3 linked regions of the Drosophila melanogaster genome follow. The protein of the gene in region 3 purifies or fractionates together with the protein of the main gene of each other region. This does not show direct contact. Each region holds a gene or a part of one and is shown on either strand. Other genes may lie near its edges. The genes, in order: Rcd-1, Not10 and roq.

What was found.
Region 1: the proteins of roq (region 3) and Rcd-1 purify together in Drosophila melanogaster (affinity purification with western blotting, with the first as the bait; one study listed by BioGRID). This does not show direct contact.
Region 2: the proteins of roq (region 3) and Not10 purify together in Drosophila melanogaster (affinity purification with western blotting, with the first as the bait; one study listed by BioGRID). This does not show direct contact.

The regions. Positions count from the first base shown.
Region 1 is NC_004354.4:19,637,230-19,641,462, reverse strand, and holds Rcd-1 (required for cell differentiation 1), read right to left. Parts: upstream 2,575-4,233; 5' UTR 2,154-2,574; coding exon 2,070-2,153; intron 2,018-2,069; coding exon 1,643-2,017; intron 1,568-1,642; coding exon 1,373-1,567; intron 1,316-1,372; coding exon 1,224-1,315; intron 1,162-1,223; coding exon 993-1,161; 3' UTR 717-992; downstream 1-716.
Region 2 is NT_033777.3:12,629,045-12,633,820, forward strand, and holds Not10 (CCR4-NOT transcription complex subunit 10), read left to right. Parts: upstream 1-1,602; 5' UTR 1,603-1,670; coding exon 1,671-1,759; intron 1,760-1,833; coding exon 1,834-2,589; intron 2,590-2,649; coding exon 2,650-2,977; intron 2,978-3,073; coding exon 3,074-3,132; intron 3,133-3,190; coding exon 3,191-3,541; intron 3,542-3,606; coding exon 3,607-3,931; 3' UTR 3,932-4,144; downstream 4,145-4,776. Other genes in the region: Snx3 (sorting nexin 3), read left to right, coding at 178-408; CG18530 (uncharacterized protein), read left to right, coding at 4,315-4,377, 4,438-4,776. UniProt on the Drosophila melanogaster protein: Component of the CCR4-NOT complex which is one of the major cellular mRNA deadenylases and is linked to various cellular processes including bulk mRNA degradation, miRNA-mediated repression, translational repression during translational initiation and general transcription regulation.
Region 3 is NT_037436.4:16,375,551-16,380,384, forward strand, and holds the start of roq (roquin), read right to left. Parts: upstream 3,017-4,834; 5' UTR 2,882-3,016; intron 1,689-2,881; 5' UTR 1,688-1,688; coding exon 1,526-1,687; intron 1,461-1,525; coding exon 1-1,460. Other genes in the region: Agpat4 (1-Acylglycerol-3-phosphate O-acyltransferase 4), read right to left, coding at 3,577-3,659, 3,720-4,077, 4,150-4,685.

The sequences.
Region 1 (4,233 bases), on a different chromosome or scaffold from region 3:
TCCGCTCGCCACTTCGCTGCACTGGCCGTGCCAAGTGTACTGGGTGGATCTGTATTTATATCTGTGTGCCGGGACTTTACCTGCAAAACAATTTGTGGAAATCCAAACAGTACAACTTCGGAGGTGTGCCCAGGACTTGAGGCGTCAATTTGTGCTGCGGCTGTTAGTGTTTATTCCATGTGTCTATATTTAAACCTGTTGTAATTGAAGCTATTGCAAGCGCTGTATATGAGTGTCCATATTATATGCATTTGAATGTGTGTTTTGCCGTTACTGCACCCGCTGCACTACCTTTTTTTCCTGGGTTGGGCTGGGCTGGTCTGGAGCACTGGGTGCTCTTGGTGCACACCACGCGACCTAGAGCGGGACAGCAGCATGCCAGCTGCGTGGCCAGGAGCGGGACGGGGATAGCAGCAGATGCGCTTTCTGCGCAATTTTCTCGACTTTTGTTTACACACCTCGCAGGATGAGCCATTTGCATTCAGTAGAGTGATTGATTGTGATGGTCAGAACTTACATATGTATATAGAACCTATAAGATTCGTTCGGGGACACCCCCTACTATCAAATATACACAGCAAATAGCAAATATAGCAAATCCGGACAGTAGCCCAAAAGTATGCAGCGAAAAGATGATTATGAACTTTTGCGGGATTGTTAATATCCTCTGTTAGAATATTGATATTAAAAAAAAAAACAAACACGCATAAATATTTATATCGTATCGTCTGCTCGAGGTTCTTTATTGGGTGTCAGTGACAATCTTAGTATTAACATTAATTTATTTGTAATTTATGTAGGTATATTACAGCTCCGCTTAAGTCGACACAGGCAATCTCGTGCACGCTTATGAAATATGTATGTATGTATGTATGCATGTTTATGTATATTCGGTCGAGCAGCTATGTAATTAACAGCGTGGATTATTCATCATCGATGGTTGGACGTTAGAATTGATAATATAGTGCTGGGTGTGCTGTCGCTTCCACTCCCTAGGAGCCCAGTGGCGACATGCCGATCTGCTGCGGAGTGGCGCCGAGTTCCAGGTTCTTGAGCAGCATCTGCAGCCACTGCTTGGTCGACTTGTCCTCTTGCAGGCACAGCGCAAAGGTGCCGTCACGCAGCTGATCGGGCAGACACTGTCCCAGGGCCTTGCGAGCGCTGAAAGAGTCAAGGCTAGACTGAAAAGCCGAGCGATAATTTACTCGCCCGCCAAGACTTACCGTGTATTGTCCGAAAGACGCAGATAGCAGCGCACCACATGCTTCAACAGCCGGGCGCATGGATCCTTCGCCAGCTGGATGACCATTTTGCCCTGAAATCGATAAAGACCCTTAGACAATGCATAAGGCTTCGGGAAACGGACACTCACCAGGGTGATGGCCACGTGCGAAAAGCGTTCGTAGGTCTGGCAGATGTACGACAGACCCGACTCATCGAGCAGGATCTTCTGGATGATGAAAGTGGCCACAGTCTTGCTCAGCTCCGATCCGCTGTCCATGATGCTCAGACAAAGGGGCACGATCTCGGTGGTCAGCAGAAAGGTGATCACCTCCTGTTCGTCGGTCTGTCGATAGCAGTAATAAGAAGACAACAAGTGCATTAGTGCATTAGATGACCACTGGCCTTCGGCTTAACCTACCTTGACCAGAGCACCAATCACGCCCAAACTGGTCAGGCGCAAGTACTCGAAGGGCCTGGTCTTGGACGTGGTCGACAAGAAAGGGTACAAGTACAGCGGTATCTGGGCCTGCAGGAAGGCCGTGCGAGTCTCCGGGTGCGAGGCGACGCACTGCAGCAGCGCCAGGGCGTTGCACACGCGGTTCGACTGGTGGGCCGTCAAAGTGGGCGGCGTTATCGATGGGTAGATGTTAACAATCTCCTGCAACAGGGCGCAGGCGGTCCCGAAGCTGTTCCACAGCATGGGGGCCAGGTCCGTCTCACGCTTCTTGCTTAGCTCGAGCAGAGCGGTTTCACGCGTGTCCGGATGGGCCAGCTCATTGATCCACTGGTACACCTGGCGGGCGATAAGTTAAAGCTAGCACGCGTTCTTGCCGACATCGGCTTACCTTCTCCTGCTCGGTCTGCTGCTGCTGCTGTTGCTGCTGCTGCTGCTGCTGAGGATTCATATGCGGACTCGGTTGAGCACTCATCGTGTTAACTTGACAAGATCTGGGTAAGAACTGTCGCCGGACGCTTGCAATGCACTTAGTGTCGGCGAGAACTCGCTGAACGGAACGGGACCTGCGAAAAGGAAGAGGTGGATTCCTATCGCCGGACGCTTAGATCGGGCGAGAGTTCGCTGAACGGAATGGGGCCTGCGAAAAGGAAGAGGTGGAACTAGCGATTTGTCGTCGATTTCTATAGCCGGACGCTTGCAATAGACTTAGCTCGGGCGAGAATTCGCTGAACGGAACGGGGCCTGCGAAAAAGGAAGAGGTAAAACTGGCGATTTGGCGTCTATTGCGATTATCGATAACGTTAGCAGGAAATTCCTTTTGCATTGGTTTAAGTCTAAAATGATCGAAAACAAGTGGCGACAACCAGGATTATGTTGTGTGCCGAACAGTGTGGCCAGAACCGCGCAAATGCCGCTGGAAATTGGTGAAACGCAAGCGCGCTATTTGTTTTCCAGCGTCGATGTAAATATGTACATAAATTTAAATTTTCAGAGAAACTTCCCGCCGTACGAAAACACAAAGTCTGAATGAAATCAAACATGATTTGCCAAATACAACTGCTTGCGCATGCTTTGTTGGTGCAAAATGCAAAAGTCTACAATTTTGAAGAAAATAGGCTTGATATCTTTGAAAAAGGATGACATTGCAAAGAAATAATGAATGGACGTGAGCGCGTGATTGCGAATGACCGATGATTACATTGATCAAAAGTAATAACCATAATGGGTATTTTAATTAGGTTATAGTTCATAATTTGCATGCTAAAAGCTAAAAATGCAATTTAGTAAAGACGCATTTAGCGGTAGTCAAGTGCACCGACTGGTTTGTATCCCGGCTATCCCCGTCGATTTTGTGGTATTTCTTAGCACATTCCCCGCCAGCCGGGTATCTAGCTGACAGCCGCAAAACGGCCACACTGATTTTCATTTGTCGTGACGAGTACCTCGGAATCGAAAAGAAAAAAACATAAGCAGACAGGCGAAACAGAGCATTCCGTTCAATAATGAATGCATAAGAACGTTCGACGCGCGCCGAGAACCAGTCTGCATACGAGTCGTGCGTGCGGCCAGCGTGTTGGATATATTTTTTTGAGGTTTGCGCCAGTTTCCAATGCACTCTCGTGTCGCCCTGCCTTCTGTACCATCGAATTTGAATCGTTAAAAGTGCGTGGAAAAGTGTACGAATCGAAACCAATACACGGAAAGTGGGACAACGGCGACTGAGAGAGCTCGTTGCGCTTGTCTCTGTGTCGCTGCCTTTGTGTGCGTACGACTGAGCGTGTGTGTGTGTGTGCCGTTCTGTTGCTGTTGTGTGTGTGTGTGTGCATGCGTGTGCACCGCCGATGTGTGCGTGCGAGTAGTGCCTACTGCGGCCGAGAGTCGAGTGTTGCCCGTGCTTCGAAATCGCATTGAATCGTATGGAAAAATGTGTTTTACTTCTCGCCCAACAACGCCGAACGCCTAAAAAAGAAAATTGCCGCACGGCGTCGCGCAGCATCAATCAAAGTGCATAGAAATATGAGCATGCCAATGCCAGCAAAGGCAAAGGCAAACGAAATAGCAAATCCAAATCGCAATCGCGAATTGTGCACGCAAATCAAAAGCAGGCGCTCTTCTACTCCACCATCTTCTTTTGTCTGTCTCTGAGCGACGACTTTGCCGCATGGTGAGTTTGCCGTTTGCTTGTCGTTGCTGCTTCTTCTTTGCCCCGTTCGTTATTGTTGTTGTCGTTGGTATTGGTAGTGGTAGTGGTTGTAGTGGTGGTGTTGGGTCAGGGCTTTGGCGGCGGCGTCGTTGTTGCTAATTTTGTTGCCAGTGCACTGGCTGTCGATATTGCGCTCTAAAATCGTGCTCACAATAATATTAGTCCTAGTGCAGATAGATAGATGCTTGCATTTGGCCAGTAGAAATGTAAGCATACATATACGCAGGCCAGGGCAACCAACCCATATGAGTGTGTGCGTGTCGTGCTCCTTCGTATGTGTGTGTGTGTGTGTGGATTTTCTCCATGCAGCGGCATCGACTGCTTGTGGTGGATTTGGCCGCCAGCGTGG
Region 2 (4,776 bases), on a different chromosome or scaffold from region 3:
CGCACTATTCAGAATCTATTTAGATAGAATTACGAAACAATACATTGTAATTATAAGAAGCCACTAGAAAAGTTTCAATCCTTAAGAGGAAACTTAACCCTGAGTTTTATAAGTGAAAACGGAAACTTCGATAAGCGCCTGAAGAGTATTTAATCATGAACATACATATCCCCGCAGATTGTGGTGCCACCACTCCCAGGAAAGGCATGGAAGCGGCAGATGCCCTTCCGCGGCGACGAGGGCATCTTTGACGAAAGCTTCATCGAGGAGCGGCGCAAGGGACTGGAGGCCTTCATCAACAAGATAGCCGGACATCCGCTGGCGCAGAACGAGCGCTGCCTGCATATGTTCCTGCAGGAGAATGTCATAGATAAGAACTACGTGCCCGGCAAGATTCGGAACACATAAGCAGCTTAGTCCGGCGCAATCGAAACCCCCTAACCATAGCAATGCAATGAAGCAAAAACTCGAACGAACAAACCTGCTACGAAATCTTTATGGGAAGCCGTGTGAATGTGTGTGCTTGCCCGGATTGGAGGAGGATGGAGCAGATGAGCGATGATGTAGGTTGGTGGAGAAGGGATCTGTTATGCGACGCGATACGAGGCGGGAAGTGCTGCTGCTCAGTTAATGTTGAGCCCCTCTCAGCCCCCGGGGATTAGTTAAAAACCAGCATTGGGAATTTTTAATGCTAAATTCAAGTTTATATGGTATACATAACAATATACATACACATATATATATATTATACACAATACACATATTTACGAATAGTGTACATAAGACATGCCTACTACGCCCTCGCTAAATGAGTCTCGAAAGTAGGAGCTGCCCCTCCCATTTTCCCGATCCTCAGTTTCTTCGTTTTGAACCATTGCAGCGGTAATGAAGCAGCAAATAAAATAAGGGAGCCATCCTGACCCCAAAATCGATCCCTTGTAAGTGTATGCAAATTATTGAATATTTTGAAACAGTTTAGTGAATAATATTGTACTTCGAATCAAATTAAAATAATTCAAAAATATTGAACTGCTGATATTATTTGAATGTGCTTGAAAATGATGCGCAACTGAAGATTAAGTTGAGTTTTGTATAAAATATTAGCCTTTTTCCTAGCCAATTCTGCGGGATGGAAGTTTGTTCTTCAACTGGTCGATGTTGAATCTATGTAGTTCCCATCATATAAACCAGGCGAGGATTAATAACAATATGATGAAACAGGAAACTTCGATTGAATGCAAGGATAATTACAGTTGGGTGGGTAGGTGGATCAAAAATTGTAAACGATAAATGGATATTTTATTATTCTAAATATTATATATCATCACAAACAAAAGTCTCAGTTGAAATAAAGGTATAGGTTTCGCGCGCTGCAAATCTAGACTAGTGATGTGCTGCCACCTATCGACAGCAAAATGCCAATTTGACCATTGTAAAGTTAAAATTTTATATAGAATATATTTTAATTTGTTCATATTAACAATTTAATTTTTAATTAATAAATTAACAAGAAATTTAACAAGTTGTTTAATGTTAAGAATTAACTTATTTATTAATAAGGTTAACCGCTTTAGTTACGGTTAAAAGTGGCAACGCTGTGCTTGTTGATTCTGGCAACGCTGTGTCATCTGTGGATTGGTTCGGTTTTTTTGTTTTTATTTATTTTTGGCATGGACTCGGCGGAATCCCCCACCAAAACGCAGGCCGGCGAGGACGAGAACTACAGTCTGCTGTGCCAGGCGCACGAGCAGTTCAACAAGTGAGTGTTCATCCGCGTGTCACCGGGAAGTGCACCCATAACCGCCACTCCTTTCCGGCTGCTCCTCATTCTAGCTCGGAGTTTGATCGCTGCTTGGAACTGCTCCAGGAGTTGGAGACGCGCGGCGAGAGCAGTGGTCCTGTCCTGCGGCACAACCGGGCGGTGGTCAGCTACTACAAAACCGGGTGCACCCAACACTCCGTCCTGCTGAAAGAACTGGAGGCTCTAACCGCCGATGCAGATGCGCCCGGAGACGTGTCCAGCGGGCTGAGCCTTAAGCAGGGAGCTGCCGCCGCCACTGTTGCTCGTTACAACCGGGCGGTCATCTATTATCACCGCCATATGTTCGGCACGGCACTGGAGAAACTAGCACCACTAGTGGCTCGTCTGGAAGCCCTGGAGAAGGCAATGGCAGCGCTGGTGGCCACACTACAGCTACAGCTGCTGCTGGCCACCAATCAACTAAACCGAGCCGAGGCCTTTCTGGATTACTTGCAGTACAAGCTTAACCTGGTGGCCACAGCGCCTAGCAGCAATGCGGCCGAAGAGGCAGCTGTTGTCGGCACAGCACCTCCGTCAGCAGCGACGAACAGTTCAGTGGTGGCCTCACCAGGAGGAGCAGCTGTGGAGGGAGCTGTGCCCGGTCTGGGCGGTAGTCTGCAGCTCTTGCAGCTAATAACGCTCGTGCTTAACCGAAAACCGGTGGTTATTCAGGAAGACGGCACGCCGGAGTACGCTGCTCTGAAGGCTCAGCAGTACTACATCATGAAGGATTTTCAGATGGCCGCCAAGCAGCTTATGCGAATCAATAACGAGTGTACACAAGCGGGGTGAGTCTGCTTCATTTTAAGTTCAAAGAAGACATACTATTTTATTGTCTATCTTAATAGCACTATAACCCCCCAGCTGAGCACGTGCATTGCCAACAATATGGGAGTGATACACTTAAGAGTGCGTCACTATGCCATCGCCGCCAAGTTCTTCCAAAATGCGCTCAACTTTGACCAGCAGCTGGCGCGAAATTTGCGCCAGAGTACGCTGCAAACCATGAGTTCGGCACGGTCCTGCGAGATCCTTTACAACCTCGGTGTGGCCATGTTGCACCTACGACGCCCCAAGGAGGCGTTTCAGTGCTTTCTGGTTCCCGTTAAGCAATTCCACAGCAATCCACGTCTTTGGCTGCGCATGGCTGAGGCCTGCATCATGGAGCATGAGGCGGTAAGACAACTTTACACTAACATGTTCTAGTACAATAGAGTCACAATAGGGTATTTATTTGTCTTAAATCTCAAATTATTTTATTTTGTTTTAAAGAAACTAGTGGAGGAGGAGCGCCAGTCGCAGTCAGAAACGCCATCAACAAAGCCATACGCGTAAGTGCTAATTCGTTAGCTTAGTTCATTGCTGGTAGTAAACTTTTCCTAATTTTAGTCCTCAATCGGCGGGAGTTCCAGAGCCCACGCTGGAATTCGCTGTCTTGTGTCTACGTAGCGCGTTAACGCTTACGCAGCACTACAAGACGAGGTTTCACATGGCGGCGGTCTCCTCGGAGGATGTGGAAGCACCCGAACCCAAGGACCCAACTCAGGAGAGTTGGCGTCATCCCCAGGACAATAACTTCTGCAATCCCTCGAAGCCAGTCAGCCTAGAGTCTTTGGAAAACATGATGGCTGCCATATATGCTGCTCACAGCTTCGTCTCGCTGCGCCTAGGCGATCATGTGACCGCGCTCGAGATGTCGGAAAAACTGCTGGCCTGTGAACGCTTGTCCGATGCACACAAGTACAATACAGTTTCTATTTAATCTTCCCATGTTTGGTTTAACATATTTACCTTTTTTTCTTCAGATTGCTAGGTCACATGTACGCTGGCGAGGCGTTGATGCTTATGGACAAGGCCAGCGAGGCACGCGACCATTTGGACCCTACTTTTGTGGGCACACTAAACGCCTTCGATTTTGAGACGCGTGACTGGCAACTGAAGTCGGTGGACGCCGCTCAGAACGTTGTGCGGTATAATCTGGCCGTTGCCATGGCTCTACAGAACGACCTGCCTCAAGCTAAAGCACTCCTGGCCAATTTAACTCATTCGCTGGTTGCCAACAAGGCGCTTGCTTTGCGACGCTTCATGGACCTCAAAATGGGTCCCGTTCCTGGCGGGACGCCGAGTTAGACAACAAATTGTGTATATAACTAGACGGAATTAAAGTGCAAGAATGAAATGACGAGGAAGCGAACTATTTGTTTGACGATCATCAGTTTTTCAGCATTTTACAGGGTGCAAACAAGGTGTATAAAACAATGTCTGTTAACTAATCCATATGTGCTTATATATTTGTACACAGAGAATTGGTGTTGGCAATAGCAAATTATCTCACAATATTTTACGTTGAACTTTTGCATACTCCAGTCATTGAGACTTTTTCATAGGAATTCTACAAATTAGATTACCCTCTACGTTAAAGCGTTGGACACTTAAATTTTAAGTATCTATCTCAGGAATTTTAAAAGTTGGGTCAGAATTATTTTGACTTGTGCAAGTTACTCTTACTCGAAATGCCGTATAAAACGCTTGTCATTCTGAGTGTCTGTACTCAAATAGTCAATGGAATAACTTCTGTAAGTGCTTTTTAGTCGATAATTATAGCTATAGGCAAGTGCTACGCTCTCTTTTCCAAGGCCGAAATCATAGCCTCGCACAACTATCCGGTGGAAATTCACACAGTGGTCACACGAGATGGGTATTTACTCAACGCGTTCCGCATACCGAACTCAATCTATTGCGAGCAATCTGGAACAAAGCCGGCGGTTCTCTTCCAGCACGGAATGACCGCCTCCTCGGATGTTTTCCTAGTGAATGGACCTCGGGATGCATTGCCATTCATGTTGGCCGACGCCTGCTTTGACGTTTGGCTGAGTAACTCGCGGGGCACTCGGTATTCCCGACGCCACGTGTCTTTGGATCCCTCCGATGAGGACTTCTGGCGCTTCAGCTGGCACGAGATTGGAACGGAGGAC
Region 3 (4,834 bases):
GAATCGTAGCGGCTCGGCACTATGAGCCTGGTAATGGGACTGTGATGCGACGGCGGGAGACCACCACCTGGCGAAAGTCCCAAGCTGGGATCCAGATATCCCCTAGGAGAGCCCATATAATGCATAGGCGACATAGGTAACATGGGTGGCATGTTACCTAGAGGCGGTCCCTCCTGCTCGCCTAGTGGTTTCTTTATGGCTCCTACGCCTACCGCTGGAGGTCCCTGCAGCGCCAACGGTGTCTTCATATGTTTTCCTCGATTCCGTGCACGATAGCGTTCTACCTCCTCCTGGGAATGGGCAAAGGTACAGCTAGAACCTCGGGGACACACCCGCCGCACATTCAAGTCCCTGCATAAGCTGATCTTGTACTTCGGATTGCTATTGGTCGTCCCACCACTGCCACCGCCACTGATGCCGTCCTGCGCCTTGCGCACTCCGTGGTGCTGAAGGAAGTTCACCAGTCCAACGACCGAATGCCGCACTGCATCCAAGGCCTCAGCCAAAACCGACCACGGGGCAACCTCCGCACAGGGATCAATATTGGCCAGGTACTTCAGATGATGATGCAAACTGGATAGCTTCGCAGGATCGCTGGTCCGCTGCAAGGCGATGACCAATTCCTGGACTGATTGCGCAAAGGAGCTTGGCGTCTGCAGCTTATCGATGATGCTCTGCATGTGGCTTTTATGCATCACGTCGCCATACAATAGGGAAGACCATTGTTCCGGTGCAATTCGCAGACCCGCCTCGGTGGCTATCTGAACGATTTGGGCATCGTGCTCCCGGCGTAGGGCGTCATACGTACGGAATTCCTCTTTGAGCTGCATCAACGACGAGTCCGCCTCCCGCTTGGACACCTTGAAGCAGCTGGCGCGGTAGAGCAGCTGTACCACATGTCCGATACTCGTCTTGGAGGCCTGGGGAAACTTCGGCTCTAGTCGCTGCACGACGAACATGACCAGCACTTTGCGCGAAAGCGCTGATCCCTCCTCCAAGGCCAGCAGCACCAGTTTGAGCACCTCCTCCTGCATGGCGGGTCCAAGGAACTGGCATCCTCTTGTCCGCACTGCAGCCCACAGATTTGAGCTCAACTGCTGGGGATTTTGGTGCTGCAGGATCAGCTCGGTGACTGTGCGTTCGCCTAGGGATCTGGCTGCTCGAAGCGCTCTCACCCGTCCCTCCTCCTCCATCAGCTGGCAGTTGACCAGAGTAACCAGTTTCCGTAACATGGGTCGAGTTAGAAGATTGCCATTTCCGTTCAGGTTGAGGAAGGACTTCAAGTGCAAAGCCAGCTCCTCGATGCACCGCTGACCCAGTTGGTAACACTTAAGGTGCTCCGGCTCCAGCTTCTGCACACTGGGCGGTGGTGGTGCCAGCTCGAGGAGCTCCGAGTCCTTGACCAACTGGAGCAAGGCATGGTTGATGGGCAAATTGTCGATGTCACTGACAATCACGGTCTGAGAAAAGAGATTAGGGCAGATCGTTTAGGGTTGGCGCAATACTTAAATGGAGTTCAACTCACCTGATCGAAGGGACACTGCCGGTTGTAGAGGGTCGTCAGGCATAGCTTGCAGATGGTGTGCCCGCAGCCCAGACTGACCGGACATCGCTGGCTGGCCGCGAATTCATTGCAGCAGATGGGACAGTTCAGAAAATCTGTCCATGAGGGAGCCTGAATCGGCATGCTGTGCGTAAATTACATAAAAATACCAATTAAAATAAAATAAGCCAAAAGGTAAGGAAAATCTTATTTTAATGGAATCTTGGTGATATTGAAATCGGAACAAATTACCCGAATCAGGCTTGTTAAACATATTCTATTCATATATATTGTAGGAATGGCGGAAGTAATACTGCCTTTAAAATTTCATAGCATGAATGAGTAATGTTTCTTATCTTGGGTAAAGAAATCATGCTACAAATGTTCACACATATGCTCTATGGGTAATTCAATTTATGTATATCCTTATCAGATTTAACTTTATGGAAAACATTAGTTTTTTCTGAGAATGAAGTATAATATTTGAAACAGACTTGTGGCAGCCTACATCTATAAGTCTTAATGGAATCTATCACAATAAGATCTGTATAGAGCCCACCTATAAATACTTAAATTATCGATCTATAAAAGGGTAAATCGTGTAAAGATCTAATATCCCATAAAATATGCTCGTTATTATCGAATTGATGTAACGATGAAAGTGACGTGACTCAAGATAGTCTTATTTTCCTTTTACAACGATCAAAAGTGGCACAGTAAAAAGTTTCGCTTTCGTCTTTTTCTTCTTCTTGCCTTACCCCCAACGTCAGCTGTCGCCACACGCACACACTCGCGTGCTCCCCCCACACAGACACACACGCACACTCGTCTGCTGCTGTTTGTGTGCGAGGGCATTTGTACACGCATGCAAGTATATCTGTATGTATATATAGCAACTATATATTTTTATACCCCAGTTGCACTTCCTGGAGAACTTTTTCGGATCTTCAAGTGCTCAAAGGATCGCTAATATTCCTTTTGAGACCCCAGAGAGAGAGAGCCACTCACACACACACGCATAACTGCCTTTATGGGGGACACAAACGTAACTCGCTTTCAACGTCATCAAGCATCCGCTTTCTTTCGAGACGCGAACAAAGGGAATTTCGGGCAGTATCCTATAGGTTGTGCCAACCCAAGGAATGGCACCTTCGAAAAGTAGGGCCACAGGCCAGTGAAAGGTCCTTGAAACCAAGTAATCCCCCAGGAAAAACAATGAACTACACGAAAATCTCTCTCAACGTTTTTTTCGTTACGTTTCACTTTTCACTCTGCTTCGTGGATTTCGCACAAACTTGGTTTAATGCAATTTTTGGCACTGGTGCTGCACTGACTCACCTTCAAAATGCACATATTATTGCATTAAAGGTACGAAAATATGTTTTTTAATTTTCATTGGATTATTGTAAGAAATTTGGGAAGTTGCAATCAGTATGACCGCAGGTGACGAGCGGCGGAATACTGAATCCAGCTGGCTGAAAACGTTGAATGTCTTGCTGCACTGCTTACACGAAGGGTCGCACTAGGCGCTCTCAGCTGATTGCGATAAGCAGTTATCGTTTTGGACATCACTATCTATATTTGAAATTCGATAACCTAATTTTATAGCATTTATTGTATAAATGGCTAAAATATACAACACATGTTCTAATTAGAAAAACAAAAGTACAAGAAGTTTAAACTTTGTAACTACGACGTTTATATAAGTGGTAGAAGACTGAGAAATCTTTTCGATTTAATGTACAAACACATTAAATATTTGCCTCAAAGAAACTTTTAGTTCTTGTAAGTGAATTTGTGAGAAATTTTTTCGATTGGATGTACAAACACATATTAAATATTTGCCTCTAAGAATCATTTAGTTCCTGTAAGTGAATTTCGCATAAAATGTTATTTTATTCAGTTAACTACAATGGTTTATCGTACATATTCAATGTACATAATATTTCTATGGTCAGTGCAGTTGAGTTATTAGTCCATAGGTCGTATATTCCAAAACTGTTGCAGAGTTTATAAAACTCAGGTATGAAAATCTATTTCTTGGCAGCAGCTGCTCCATACGCAGAGGCTTTGCTGATCTTCGAAGCATTCACAGCGTATTCCATGAGGCTATAGACTGGAAGTACAAGTTGTAAAGTTAAGCACATATCCTCGAAACTAGAATTTCTCAACTTACATCCTCCCAAAATGGAAAGAACCGTGATGAAGCCAAACCAGTTGCCGGCAACCAGCGAGGTGACCAAGTAGTGCAGAATGCACAGGACGGCAAAGGTGGCCCAGCCCAAGAAGTTGAGGAGCGTGCTCAGGCGCGGCTTGTAGATTTTCTCGGGCACCTCCTTGACTCCGGAATTCTTAAAGAAGCTGCCGGTCTCGTGGAAGCTGTCGATGATCTTGTCCTTTTCCGCAAAGAAGTCCTGCATCCAGGCGGCGGCCTCCTTCTCGTCATCGGGAACCACGTCCAGTGGCACTCGGCGAATGTACATGTACGGTTCCACGGGCTCTCCGTTCAACTGGGACAGCATGGTGGGCTTTGGCTGTAAGTTAATTCAAGTTCGAAAATGTAATTTAAAATATATATACATATATATGAGATCTTAAGTTCTCACCTCGGCATTCTTCTTGAAGGCCAGATTGATGTCGTAGATGGCAGGACAGATGCCACGCATGGTGGGCAGACTGGTCGTGAATCCCTTAGTGCGCGGAATCAGATGGTGCTTGAGGAGGGGAAGACCTCGCTCCTCGGCGAACTTGACTGACAGCTCGTGTTTGGCGGGTGTGAAACGGGTGCCCTCCGCGTTCAGCAGTAGCCACACGGGATCCGGATAGGAGAAGACCTCCTTCAGCTGCGTCTTGATCACCACCTTGTCCTTCTCGAAGTTGCGGTCAAGGAAGATGAACTCGGCCATCCACCAGACCCATCCCAGGACCGGAACATAGCGCAGCATCTTCTTGGCATACGCCTTGGTGCCTCCCAGATTGCCCAGCTTGTCGGTGATCATCCAGGCGGTCAGCCAGTCGATCTCGTACGTGTGGTTCATCAGGAGCAGTCCATGCTCCTTGCCGAAGAACTTCTGCTCGTCCTGGGGATCGATGTACACCCTCAGCTTGCTGCCCGCATACCATTCCGCCACACAGACAAGGACTAAAGTGTGAGGATAGTTTTTAAATTATCAAAAAGTACCACTTTTACGTTATTTCATTTAATCATCAAATGTAAAAACTAAGTGATTTATACAAAAGAAGACCTTGCATATACCTAATCTAATCAGGAAAACAGGAAGTGTGCTGAAA